Oryzias latipes: one gene and its partners. The main gene of each other region encodes a partner of the protein of the gene in region 2 in a complex. Links are inferred from orthologs where the notes say so. Each region holds a gene or a part of one and is shown on either strand. Other genes may lie near its edges. The genes, in order: washc4, washc5 and washc1.

Region 1 (3,990 bases), on a different chromosome or scaffold from region 2:
GAGGATCCAGATTGCACTCAGTCCGGCTATGTTGTATGACCCAGCTGCTGGACTCGGGAGAACCGTGTCCCCTGTTGGATCCGTGTCCCCTGGTGGAACCGTGTCCCCTGGTGGAACCGTGTCCCCTGGGGGAACCGTGTCTCCTGGTGGAACCGTGTCCCCTGGTGGAACCGTGTCCCCTGGGGGAACCGTGTCTCTGGACAGCTCCAGAATGCTGGGTGAGCTGGCGGAAGCGTCGCTCCACGGAGTCCTGAGAAACCGTGTAAACAATCACGTGAATTCTGTTTCCAGTCGTGTCCAGACAGAATAAAGGCCGGTCTTAAGGCCTGTTCACACCAGGACAAGTTTAACGCCTCGTGACTAAACAAAGGGCACCAATGAGAGTGTGCACACAGACGCGAAAAAACGCCACGCGTCAAAGCGTCAAAAAAAAAAAACGCCTCGGGTTCGTTTTTTTTTTTGTCGCGTCGAAATCTATTCGACCAATGAGAATGGCGCTTTTGCACACGTGTCTGGAGCTTCTGAAGTTACAGTAAAACACCACTTGGGGGCGCTCAAACACAAAACTTCCTTGCTGAACACACATACCAGCGAAGAAGTTAGACGCCAAGTAGCGTCTACACAGCAGCGAAGAAATAATGACGGACGTTCTTAAATATCCCCGAACCAAGCACCAGTTGGAGCTACTGGTGCTTGAAATATTCATGTTTTCTTTGTTTGATTCTGACTAGCGTGTAAATACTTACTCTCTTCTTCTGAGCGAAAAGCGACTTTAAGAAGCGTAAAGTTGCGCAGCGCCACCTTGTGTACAGGAGTATTTCTGTTTACATTAAGCGCCATCTAACTTCAGGGAATGAAATTGCATGTTCGCTCGGCTCATCGTCAGCGAAAATCACCTGGGTGTGAACACGAAAAACGCTGGCGAATAACGCCTGGCGAATATTCGTCCCGGTGTGTACGGGCCTTTATTCCCACATATCAACTTGCAGCCAAGATGCACATTGCAGCACGGACATCGTGGATTTTAACTGCATCCACGGCTAAATGTTGTTAGCACGTATTATTCTTATCCTAACCCTTTTTTACTGTTTTTTGCGGCCAAGAATAAAGCACTGGCTGCTGAATTTAGAAAATGTATGAGCGAACAGTCACTTAAATGAAATAAAATAATAAAAGCGCAATTAGAAGATCATCTCGCTCTATGCTGCAGCTTAAGGACTCGCCATTTCTTTTATGGCCGTTTATTTCTGCGCATCTCAAAACAGTTGAAGGTGTGGCGTATGTAAACGTTAGTTTGTGAATGTGTGTACACAGTTCAATTCTAATCCGATCTTTGATCCAAACAAAGACATTTTGTGCACGTAACCACAGCTTTTGTGTCATCCGACTCCCTGATTGATCAAAGCTCAGCTGGTTTAACTTTCAACGCGCGTTCAATGCCGCACGTTTTGTACGGATCGCCCAAAAACAGCCTTAAAAAAACGCGTAGCAGCGCATGAACGGGGAAGCCTGAAACACGCCTTTACATCGACTTTTCAGTAGAAGTGGCCGCCGAACGCGCGTCGTTGAGGGCGGCGTGAATGCAGGATGTGAGAAGCCTCCTGTCAGGATGAAGTTCTTCTCTGAGCTCCTGGAGGATCAAACTCGTTTCCACAACAATTTCTGAAACGGAGTCTGTGCTAAACAAGTCAAATGAAGATCTATGTTTTACAAGAAACCAAACAGGAAACGTCTTTAAAGGAAATCGCTCAATAAATGTCTGAATCAGAATCTCATCTTGTCAACAAAGATTGATTGGAATGGACTTGAACCTGGTCCCTCTGTCAGTTTCATCTCCCTGTTTGTGACCTGTTTAGGTTCGGTTCTGATCAGGCTCGGTTTGGTGGCTTGTCAGGAAATCCCGTTAAATGCCGCGTTTTCTCCTCTCCGTCAGCTTATGTGACTCATTATCTGGACAAAACTTTCTACAACCTGACCACCGTCGCTCTGCACGACTGGGCCACCTACAGCGAGATGAGAAACCTGGCGACCCAGCGCTACGGACTCACCATGGCGGAGGCTCACCTGCCCAGCCAGACTCTGGAACAGGTTGGCCCCTCCCACCATCACGGCAGCACGCTGCAGGGGTCAGACTAAGGGTTTGATTCCAACCACATTTCTGTGTTTTCATCAGGGTTTGGACGTTCTGGAGATCATGAGAAACATTCACGTCTTTGTTTCGCGGTTTCTCTACAACCTCAACAACCAGGTGAGTTTTCTCCAGGTGTTCCCGCTCTTCTGCTGGCTCTTCTCAGGTGATGCTTCCCTCCATCAGATCTTTGTAGAAAAGGCGAGCAACAACAAGCATCTGAACACCATCAACATCCGCCACATCGCCAACTCCATCCGCACCCATGGCACCGGCATCATGAACACCACAGTGAGTTCACGGCGGCGAGAGGAACCTGCTTCCGCTGAAGACCCTCAGACGCTCACCTGTCCTTTCTTCAGGTTAACTTCACCTACCAGTTCCTGCGGAAAAAATTCTACATTTTCAGTCAGTTCATGTACGACGAGCACATCAAATCCAGGCTCATCAAGGACATCCGCTTCTTCAAGGAGACCAAGGACCAGTCTGACCAGAAGGTTGGTGTCTTCTCTGGAGATCTGAGATGGACAGATGTGACCTTTGAGGTGGTTTGATCAGCCATGAGAGTCCAAATGACCGGACATGAACCCGCATTCATGAGAAACAAAACGTCCTTATCGTTTGGATTCAAAGTTAAAAAATGTTTTTTCCCCAAACTGCTTCTGTTTTTGCTGTAAAAACCCGATCTGGTGACCCCGCCCCCTCCCCCGGCCGCAGTACCCGTTTGAGCGAGCGGAGAAGTTTAACCGGGGCATCAGGAAGCTGGGCCTCACCCCGGACGGGCAGAGCTACCTGGATCAGTTCAGACAGCTCATCAGCCAGATCGGTGAGAGAGTCGGGCAGCGGGCGGGGTGAAGGCGCCTGCAGCTTCTGACAGCTCCGCCCTCTTTCAGGTAACGCCATGGGATACGTGCGCATGATTCGTTCTGGAGGACTGCACTGTTGCAGCAGCGCCATCAGGTAGAATGCAGCTCTTCACCACTGCATTGGTGGACAACGGTGTGCGGTCGGGCTGAGACGGCGTGCGGTCGGGCTGAGACGGCGTGCAGTCGGGCTGAGACGGCGTGCGGTTTGTCCCCTGCAGGTTCGTTCCAGACCTGGAGGACATCGTGGACTTTGAGGAGCTGGTGAAGGAGGAGGGTCTGTCTGAGGAGACTCGCAGAGCGGCGGGGTAAAACTTCCAACCTTTATTTCAACACTGAGCAGGTTTTGCTGATTGACTGTCATCTGCAGAGGTTGATGTTGTAACAGAAGGTCTGCAGGGGGCGCTGCATCCTCCTCACAGATGATCAGAACATGTTTGGTTTCCTCTCCAGCGTGTTCGACTCGGTCTTGAGTGATCTGACCAGCAACTCTGCAGAAGGGACGGAATATTTCCGGATGCTGGTGACCGTGTTTGCTCCTGAGTTTCGCAGCGCCAAGAACATGCATCTGAGGAACTTCTACATGATTGTTCCTCCGCTGGTCAGTTCTGCAGCCGCACCGCCTTTGAAAGCTGGGCTCATCGCTAACGGCTCTCTCCCTCACAGACCGTCAACTTTGTGGAGCACTCCATCAGCTGCAAAGAGAAGCTGAACAAGAAGAACAAGAGCGGTGCTGCTTTCACGGACGATGGCTTTGCTATGGGTGAGTCTGCCGTGGTCTCTAAGAGTCTTCAGGAGAAGATGTTTCAGAAAAACCTGTTGAACTTGCACTGAACAGAGTGACTGTGTTGAGTTTTTACCCCAGAAAGTAAAATCTGGACCCGGGGGTTCATTCATTCAACAAGGCGGGGTCCGATGACCCGGGTCAGGCGTTCTGCAGTCACCGCCTGGTTTGTGTTGCATCTGTCTTTAAACTGATTTGATCTGATGAAGTATCTG
Region 2 (4,658 bases):
TCTTTGATTTAGCTGAGTTTAAACCTTGCTCTGGTGCACAGTGAGGGAGCAGGTCAAACAAACAGCTGTCACCATGCAACCGTTTTTATCCTTCGGGACGTTCTGCTTAAAGGAAGAGAATGCCTTCAGGTGAGACTTATTGAGCAATAAAAGTCCAGTTCAATCGGTGCCTGAAGGTGACATTAGAGATGAGAGGCGCAATCGAAGGAGACCGCCATGCAGACAGGATGGACACAGAGTGACAGACTGAAGTATTTATGGGTAAAGTTAATTATTTGTGCACCCAATCTTTTGTCAATGAGTGTGTTTACATGCGTTTGTTTGACCAAGTTAGAATAGATTTTCTAACAGGTTTCCTAAATTTCATTTAAACCACAAACCTGGTGTCCTTATCTAGCGGGAGAAGGGTGGGGAGAAGGCAAAAAAAATTGTTTTCAGGACGTGACATGCCCTGCTGGCATACAACATGGGACGAAGAAAAAAACAACTTGATTGAGGGCAACATGATAATCTCTAAGACCGATGTAGTTTGTGTATGAGAATTGCCAAAAACAGTCTATTACCTCATTCAATTATGTGTGGCATTATATATATATATATATATATATATATATATATATATATATATATATATATATATATATATATATATATATATATATATATATATATATATATATATATATTAGGCCTATGTTTACATTTTTTCCATTACTTTGTAAAAGAAAATGCAATGGAATTTTATTAGGAATTGTATTATTATTAATGTTATAATTATGTGAAAATAATAATTATTATTCACATATTATTATAGTCATTGTTATTAGGACTTTCATTGTAGTTGTATTACTTTGTATTGCTTTGTGTATGTGTGTTATTTTGTTGAATAGAGATTTTGGTGGAATATGCACATGTACACACTACATACATGTATACAGTCAATGATAGAAACACATTTGTTGATGGGACAAAAAGTCCCAGATACTCAGCAATAATGTGAGTTTTATTTCCATGATGAAGGAAACGTATTTTAATCATTTTATTTTTAGATTGTGTCTGAATCATAAATGTAGTTTGTCTTTACTGTATCAAAGTGATGAGTCCTCAATTTTGAGTTGGTAGAAAGGAAGCGACAGCAGGAAAAATCTGAGGATTTAGTGGATCTTTGTCGCCACCTAGAGACATACAAAAGGAACAGCAGGAATCTGAACTAATGCGGAGACAAAAAAAAGTGTATTTTGTGAAATAACTTTTCATTTTAAGAAGCTTAAAAATGTAAAGGATAGTTTGAAGTTGATCACATCATGATAAATATATCTAAGACTTAAAAAAAACGGAATAATCTCTGAAATAGTGAACTCGTTCTCACATTTTTCTCCGGCAAACTGAGTAATAGAAATCTAACGCACCCAGCAGCGCAGTCATGTGACGGGTCATGAGGAAGTAAACAGGGAAGGGGAGCTCCAAAAAGGTGAGCACTTTTGGCCACAATTTCCACCATAGGGAGATTACAGTTAGTTCGACACATAAAACTAAACATACCTCTTAGTCATAAGTGTGCATCTTTGCAGATATTTATCCGTTTGGCGCGATATAACGCCTTATTAGAACAAAAAGTGTGCAACATGCTAACGTTAGCATCATCCAGGCTGAAGTAACAGATGGTGCATATTGTCTTTAAAAGCAACCTTCTCACATTCCTTAACGTAGGTTTTATGATATATTTAATATGTGATACATTTATTTTATTTTGAAGCGTCCTGACATGCATTTTAATATATTTATTTTATTTGATCATTAGTTACAGGTTTGTATAGGTTAGCTGGTATATTTCCAAAACAAAAGAAAATATTTCTTTAAAAAAGCCTCTCAGGATTATGACTCCTTACATTAAAGAGCAAATACATATTTGTTTTTATGCTTTTATTGTGGAGAAAACGTTATTTTTTTTCTTCATATTTTACATGAATTCATTATCCTGTTTGTATGATTTCCTTTATGAAGCAGTGTTTTCTCCCCTTCTCTTTAAGTCATCCTTACTGCTTATTTTTTTAAAGCTTTATTTTGTAATAACTCTACTTTTCTCAATGAACTCATTGGGTCTGATGGTTACCTCTTAAATTCTCTACAAGTATGAAGATTTTATAAATCCATTAATCCTAAACGGTTAGTTTTAAAAAAAGAAAAATGCGTATTTTCTGTGTTGTTTACAGGCGGCTTTTGTGTTAAATGCTATCCTTTTTTTAATTTTTTCTTTACAGGATAACCTGGAATTTTATCTTTAGAAACCGAATAGAGTTGCTGGCGGCTTCTGTGATCTGCATTTGGCTGCTATGGTGGACTTCCTGGCGGAGAATAACCTCTGTGGCCAAGCCGTCCTGAGGATAGTTTCCAGAGGGAATGCAATTATTGCAGAGCTCCTGCGTCTGTCTGACTTCATCCCCACAGTTTTTAGGCTCAAGGACAAAAGTGACCAGCAGAAATATGGGGACATCATCTGTGACTTCAGCTATTTTAAGGTGAAAACAACACTTGGAACGGCTTCTGAAGTACTTAGATAAAAAAGTCTGATTTTAGTAAAAACCAAAATAGGTTTCCTTGATTAAAAGATTTTCCTGTGTCGTCTTCTTTTTCTACATCATCTTAAAAATGAACAATCACGTACATGACATCCATTTCCTTTACCAATGTGTCTTCAGGGTCCAGAGTATTATGAGGGTAAACTGGAAGCCAAACCGGAGCTTCAGGACTTGGATGAGGAGTTCAGAGAAAACAACATTGAGATTCTGTCAAGATTCTATCTGGCTTTTGAGAGCGTCCACAAGTATATTGTGGATCTGAACAGGTACAGCATCTGAAGCTGCAGTCCGGTTCACTTTAAGATGATTATATAAATGAAATTCTTTTATCAGGTCTGAAATTTGTTCAGTTGAATAACAAAACATAGTTGATAAAACCTACCGGTAAGTCACTTTATTCAACTTTTTTCTTAAATACACTTGTGATGGTAAGTTTTTTAAAATATTTTTGATCTGTAATATTGTTTAGTTGATTTAGTAAACTCAGTTTAAAACATTCAAGCCCTGCAGAATTTGGACAGATTTCTCCACAGTATTCAAATTTTTTGAAATTCTGTTTTTGTGGGTTTGATGAGCTGGAACTCCAATTTATGTCTAAATAAACAAATACTTGAAATAATGATATATATAATATATGCAAAATATTTTTGTACCAAATTGAAAAAAAAGGAATGCATTTGAGTCATTAAATCCTCACAACCTGCTGCATCAAATCCCACTAACTAGATGTTGAAAAGCATTTAGATTTGAAACAAAATAATAAAGTGTTAGCCAAAAAACTGCAATTATCTTAAAGAAAAGAGGAATTAGCAAAATGTGTTTGAAATGCTTTCTTTTTTTCACTTTCAGGTATCTGGATGACCTTCATGAGGGCGTTTACATTCAGCAGACCCTGGAGACGGTGCTTCTAAATGAGGATGGGAAACAGCTCCTGGTAAGTTCATGATAGAGGGGAAAGATCCTTCAATTTCCATTTTAAATACATTCATAAAATTCAATTTTATCAGTACAATTTACAGAAAGAGAAAACTACACGTGGCAGCTTCCAAAAAGTGGTTAATTCTAGCTAATAAAAGTAGTCTAAAACAATAAAAAGGATTATTATGTACCGGTAAGTAAATTACAAGTTTAGGAACAGGCTAACAGTGGATTATTGTGCAAGGCTGCCAAACCGTCTTATTCTGCAACAAGTCATGAAGGGAATAAGATTCCTGACATTTAAAAAGTTTGAGATTTGATCAATTATTACGTTAACTTTTGAAATTTCTTTTGACAAAACCACACATTAATTGTCTTGTGCAAAAGAGTTTTCCATCTATTCTTTTTTTTATTACTGCAAACAGCATAAACATTTTCAACAATAATTCTAGCTCACTTGGGGAAATTAGATTTAAACAGTGGATAAAAGTAAAAGTGTGGCGTTGGGGTTTCAATGAAGCAGTGCAGCTGATTTCAGGGGCTTTCTTTTTCTCTCAGTGTGAAGCTCTGTATCTGTACGGCGTCATGTTGCTGGTTATCGACCAGAAAATCGAAGGAGAGGTCAGGGAGAGGATGCTGGTTTCCTATTACAGATACAGGTGACCCACACAGCCGCTCATAGACACAATCTCACCAACTCACTGCTCTCTGTCTGAGCCGGAACGGTCACCGCTGCACACAGACCTCAAACTCTGATCACGTTTATCTGCTTGTGACTTTTTTTGGGGGCGGGGTTTGTAGTGCCGCACGCTCATCAGGTGACTCCAACCTCGATGACATCTGCAAGCTCCTGCGCAGCACCGGCTTCTCCAGCCAACCTGGTGCCAAACGGCCCGCCAACTACCCCGAGAGCTACTTCCAGAGGGTTCCCATCAGCACCACTTTCATCAGCATGGTCATTGGGAGGCTGCGCTCAGACGACATCTACAACCAGGTGAGAAATGCTGACTCTATTTGTCCTTTTGCTGACTCTTTGATGTCCGGTTGGGTGTTGACTCTCGCCGTGTTGTTTGTACCCCTCAGGTGTCTGCCTATCCTCTTCCTGAGCATCGCAGCACAGCTCTGGCTAACCAGGCAGCCATGCTGTACGTGTGCCTGTTC
Region 3 (4,391 bases), on a different chromosome or scaffold from region 2:
TTTCATTTTCATTGCTTCACTTATCCTCTGCTGCTAAAAATAATTAGGCTTTCTGAGAAAACCCATTCCTGATGTTTCAATATTACAATAACATTTATTGTTTGCCACTGGATGAAAACTTCAGTTATAGTATGAATTTTTTTTATTTTTATATATTTGGGACTTTTTAAAATTATTATTTAAACCTTTCAACGCTTGAGAACCCACCGGGTCAAGTTTAGCTGTTGTTTTTTTACTTTTTTTTTTTTTTTAATTTATATATATATATGTTCTAGTTATGTATTATCATCTTATTAGCCACTGCTTGTTGCTTCTACCTAAAATAAAAAGACAAAAAATGTGAAATTTACTTTTAAAATCCCAGAAGAAAATTGATTTGGGGTTCTTTGGAGCAAAGACTGAAAGGAGCTAAAATGAAGGCATTCCTTTAGGGTTTTTATTTTTATTTTTTTCAGTCAGATCAACAAATCCTGGTTTACTTTTGCACTCCACTGTTGCATACTGTATTGTATGAAGTACTCCAAGCTGCGTTAGCCTTTAAGTTAACTGTGTGTGTTTGGGTACATATCTTACTCTGCAGCATTTTATAACAAACCCCACAGTTTACTCTGAAGCATTTCTGGAAACTTTGCACCAGCTAGTATTATCTTTTCTGCTGCATGAGCTTTTCCTTTTTCTTTTCTTCGTTGTTGCAGTTATGTGTATTTTTGGAGGGGTGTTTGTGTGTCTGTGTTAGTTTGTCAGCCTGGAAGGAAAAGAATAACCCAATCTCACACAAATGCATTATTCAGTGTGTTTTAGAAGCAAGCTCCCCAGTCACATCATTTGGTGTTTCTGTGCTTGTGGGTGTGCGCATCTCCGCACAGAAGCACTTTAGTGGCAGTCGTCATTTGCATCGTTTAGGATTTCAAAGTTTGTAAAAAAAAAAAAATCTAATTTTGACTTTTTGTCTTTTAGGAGAAGTTAATGCATTTCCCATTGTGTGTGAGCAACAAGAAGAAGTCTGAGGATGAGGCAGAGGAAGGACTGGGCAGTCTGCCTCGAAACATCTCATCTGTCAGCTCTCTGCTGCTCTTTAATACCACAGAGAATCTGTGAGTTTTAAACACAAACACACAGACGGATGCTTCTGCTTGCTGCCAATCTGTGCTTGCATGTTTACGCGTGTGTTCTGCATTTAGGTATAAGAAGTATGTGTTCCTTGATCCTCTGGCGGGAGCAGTGACAAAAACGCACACGACACTGGAGACAGAAAAAGAGCAGAAACCCTTCGATGCTCCTCTGTCCATTACGAAGCGAGAGCAGCTGGACAGACAGGTTCTTCAACGACTGAGCACGCTGCAGCTTTGCTGCCGTCAAATGTAGGATTTATCTTGATGAACTTTTTCTTTCCTAGCAGACGGCAGAAAGCTATTTCTATGTGCCAGACTTGGGTCAGGTCCCCGAGATAGATGTGCCGTCCTATTTGCCCGACCTGCCAGGCATCGCAGACGATCTGTCATACAGCGCAGACCTCGGTCCTGGATTTGCACCGTCAGGTCCCATACACATTCCTGAGCTTCCCTCCTTCAATGATGACAGTAGTGCACCTGGTACTGGACTAATGACTTTTTTATTTCACCAAACATGCTATTCAACCTTTAAACATGTATATAATGATGGGGAAAATGGCTTTCATATGTCTTTTAGGAACCCTCCTTCCATTGAATTCTCCATCGCTCTCTCCACCTCCACCGCCTCCTCCTCCTCCCCCTCCTCCTTCCCTTGCTCCTGCTGCTCCCATGGGGGTCCCACCTCCACCACCCCCTCCTCCCCCTCCTCCAGCGGAAAGCTCCTCAGACGTCACGGATGTGCCAAGCTCAGGTGGGTCACGTCTGCACTCGTGTCACGTCAACTGTGGATTCTGTTCGACCTCATTAAAAGTAACGAGCGCTAGCTCAAACTGTGATGCTGCAGGTCGCATGGCAGGCGCTCCCAGCGAAGTGGTTCAGCCATCAGACGGTCGTGCCAGTCTGCTGGAATCCATTCGCAACGCCGGGGGCATTGGCAAGGCCAAGTTACGCAATGTCAAGGAGCGCAAGATGGAGAAGAAGAAGCAGAAGGAGCAAGAGCAAGGTGACTGTTGCAACCGGCATGTGGATCTATCTGTGGAGGAAGGCCAAGTAGCAGAGACCGCTTAGGTTGACATTTCAGACAAATCGTGCATTTTGTGGTACCAGCGCCAAATCTACCATGGATGTACCTCAGGATCTCCTCTCAGAAAAGCTCGTTTGCCACGAGAAAAATCCAAAATGGCAGCCATTTTGAAAGATGGAGGCCTTTCACTAAATTATTAAAAAAAAAAAATTAATTTCGATTTGCCCCAGTCTGAACAATATGGACTGTTAGTGCACTAAATTGAGTCTTTCGCTTTTTTTTTCTTTTTTAAATATTGAACTTTCTTCTGGCAAATGTGATTTTCTGAAACAGATCTGAATGCTAAATCTGGTGCTTGTACCACAAACAGCTGACATTTTGCTGTCAGCCATGTTATTGTGAGACACTGCAAGACAAATTGAAGACTATTGTTCTTCCAACATGGTTTTCAACTTGATCCATTGCTTTTTTTCTCTCTTGAAGTCACATGTTCTACTTTGATGCAAAGTTCCATCTACTCATTTCATTTAAATAATTGATTGAAGCTCATTCATTTAGAAGCTCCTTGTTTCATCTCTCATCAGTTGGGGTGGTATCCAGTGGTGGCGACTTCATGTCTGATCTCTTCAATAAACTCTCCATGCGCAGAAAAGGTACGACAAGACTTGTCTTTTAAATAAAATATTTTAAAAACTGAGGTTTTTGGAACAGCTTTTGCTTTACTTCCTGCTTCCTTCTTTCAGGAATATCTGGAAAAGGCCCGGCAGCTGGAGAGTCCGGTGAGGCTCCCGCAGGTGCAAGTGGTGCGTTTGCCAGGATGTCCAACGCCATCCCTCCACTTCCTGCCCCGCAAACAGCGACGGACGACGACGACTGGGAAGCGTGACGTGACGTGACGTGCGGCAGACAGAACCGACGTTGTGAAAAAGAATTTCTCGTATTGGCAATATTTGTTTTGATTTTTCAATTAAACAGGACAATAGGACAGGACATTTATAAATCAACTTAAAGTTTATGCAAAAGCTCAAAGTCAAACTACAACACAAATGAACATTTTCATTCATATTTTATTTACGGTACCTTTGATTTATCAATGGGTTCTAAATAAAAAAAAAAAATTGTTGTGAAAAATCAAACTGAGTAACAAGAATGCTTTCCATTTCAGAACAATGTGGATTTTGTTCTTGAATTATTAAAACGTCAGAGTAAGATGTGCCTACCTGTGCTGTGCCTGCCATCCATCTACATTTTTAAGTAGTTCACATTAGTAGACCTCATTTAAGAGGACAAGAGCTAACTTTTCTTACTAAGAAACTGGGTCAGTGATAACCTGTGTGCCATGAAAAAACTCTTTATTCCATTGATGAGCTGCATTAGTTTAGAGCTGAATAACAGTGTTGATGACAGCAGAAAATATGTCACCTGAAAAATAAAGAGCATTTATTCTCAAACTGTTGGTTGAAGTGCTCTTTAAGGTAATGATTTCCCCTAAATATCATTTAAAATTTTTATTTCTTAGAAAATTAATTACCGTATTAAAAAAACAAGTGTTTTCTTTCATGAGTCGTTCTGAAAGACCTGCTGCTGTTTCTTCTCCATGAAGAACTAAAAAAAAAAAAATAAGAACAGTCAGTTCATCAAACGCCTTGGTGATAACAATTATCTTTGTCTGTTTTCCTTACCTTGCGTAAGGCAGCAAAAGCGGGACCAAACGTTGCATATGTGCTTGTGCGGCTCCTGATCCAAGCTGGAAGTTTAGAGAGCGTGGCGGGACGAGAGTAACGCCTGTCACACAGCACTACAGAGGAATAGTCGCCACGGTGACGGATAGCTCGACCTATGGAGACAGACGTCAAAGACGGTTTTGTTGATCAAAAATACCGTGACTTCATTTTCTGCATCTGTTGCCATGGTTACCTATGGACTGATTGACAGCCTTCATGCAAAGGTTCTCTACTAGTGCTTGTCCGGGGCTCTTTCCTTGACTGTGAGGCTAAATAAACAACAATTGTTATTTTTTTTCTGTTAAAAAAAAAAAAAAACACAAGAATTTCTATCATAACTTTATGAAACCAGACCAACCAGGTGTTTGTCGAGGTACGACATCTTCTCCTGCAGCTCTGGGGATTTTATGTTGGGATATGGCATTCCAACCATTACCACACACCTGTAATCATACGGCAAAAAACACATTATGGAACAGAAGAAGCTAGTTGACTATATGCAATAAAAACATTCCACACCTGCCCAGGTCA

What was found.
Region 1: washc5 (region 2) and washc4 share a complex: the UniProt entries of both Homo sapiens proteins name them as parts of the WASH core complex. The link is inferred for Oryzias latipes from reciprocal best matches to the Homo sapiens genes WASHC5 and WASHC4.
Region 3: washc5 (region 2) and washc1 share a complex: the UniProt entries of both Homo sapiens proteins name them as parts of the WASH core complex. The link is inferred for Oryzias latipes from reciprocal best matches to the Homo sapiens genes WASHC5 and WASHC1.

Annotation. Positions count from the first base shown.
Region 1 is NC_019864.2:31,040,157-31,044,146, forward strand, and holds part of washc4 (WASH complex subunit 4), read left to right. Parts: intron 1-1,933; coding exon 1,934-2,088; intron 2,089-2,173; coding exon 2,174-2,248; intron 2,249-2,314; coding exon 2,315-2,419; intron 2,420-2,490; coding exon 2,491-2,625; intron 2,626-2,845; coding exon 2,846-2,954; intron 2,955-3,021; coding exon 3,022-3,088; intron 3,089-3,212; coding exon 3,213-3,299; intron 3,300-3,444; coding exon 3,445-3,592; intron 3,593-3,657; coding exon 3,658-3,754; intron 3,755-3,990. UniProt on the Homo sapiens protein: Acts as a component of the WASH core complex that functions as a nucleation-promoting factor (NPF) at the surface of endosomes, where it recruits and activates the Arp2/3 complex to induce actin polymerization, playing a key role in the fission of tubules that serve as transport intermediates during endosome sorting.
Region 2 is NC_019874.2:13,936,203-13,940,860, forward strand, and holds the start of washc5 (WASH complex subunit 5), read left to right. Parts: upstream 1-1,414; 5' UTR 1,415-1,471; intron 1,472-2,261; 5' UTR 2,262-2,333; coding exon 2,334-2,519; intron 2,520-2,699; coding exon 2,700-2,845; intron 2,846-3,428; coding exon 3,429-3,513; intron 3,514-4,055; coding exon 4,056-4,156; intron 4,157-4,298; coding exon 4,299-4,491; intron 4,492-4,580; coding exon 4,581-4,658. UniProt on the Homo sapiens protein: Acts as a component of the WASH core complex that functions as a nucleation-promoting factor (NPF) at the surface of endosomes, where it recruits and activates the Arp2/3 complex to induce actin polymerization, playing a key role in the fission of tubules that serve as transport intermediates during endosome sorting.
Region 3 is NC_019864.2:19,200,269-19,204,659, forward strand, and holds the end of washc1 (WASH complex subunit 1), read left to right. Parts: intron 1-957; coding exon 958-1,094; intron 1,095-1,181; coding exon 1,182-1,317; intron 1,318-1,396; coding exon 1,397-1,592; intron 1,593-1,689; coding exon 1,690-1,863; intron 1,864-1,956; coding exon 1,957-2,115; intron 2,116-2,720; coding exon 2,721-2,789; intron 2,790-2,879; coding exon 2,880-3,022; 3' UTR 3,023-3,582; downstream 3,583-4,391. Other genes in the region: ATP-dependent DNA helicase DDX11, read right to left, coding at 3,694-3,741, 3,819-3,973, 4,054-4,129, 4,219-4,303, 4,380-4,391. UniProt on the Homo sapiens protein: Acts as a component of the WASH core complex that functions as a nucleation-promoting factor (NPF) at the surface of endosomes, where it recruits and activates the Arp2/3 complex to induce actin polymerization, playing a key role in the fission of tubules that serve as transport intermediates during endosome sorting.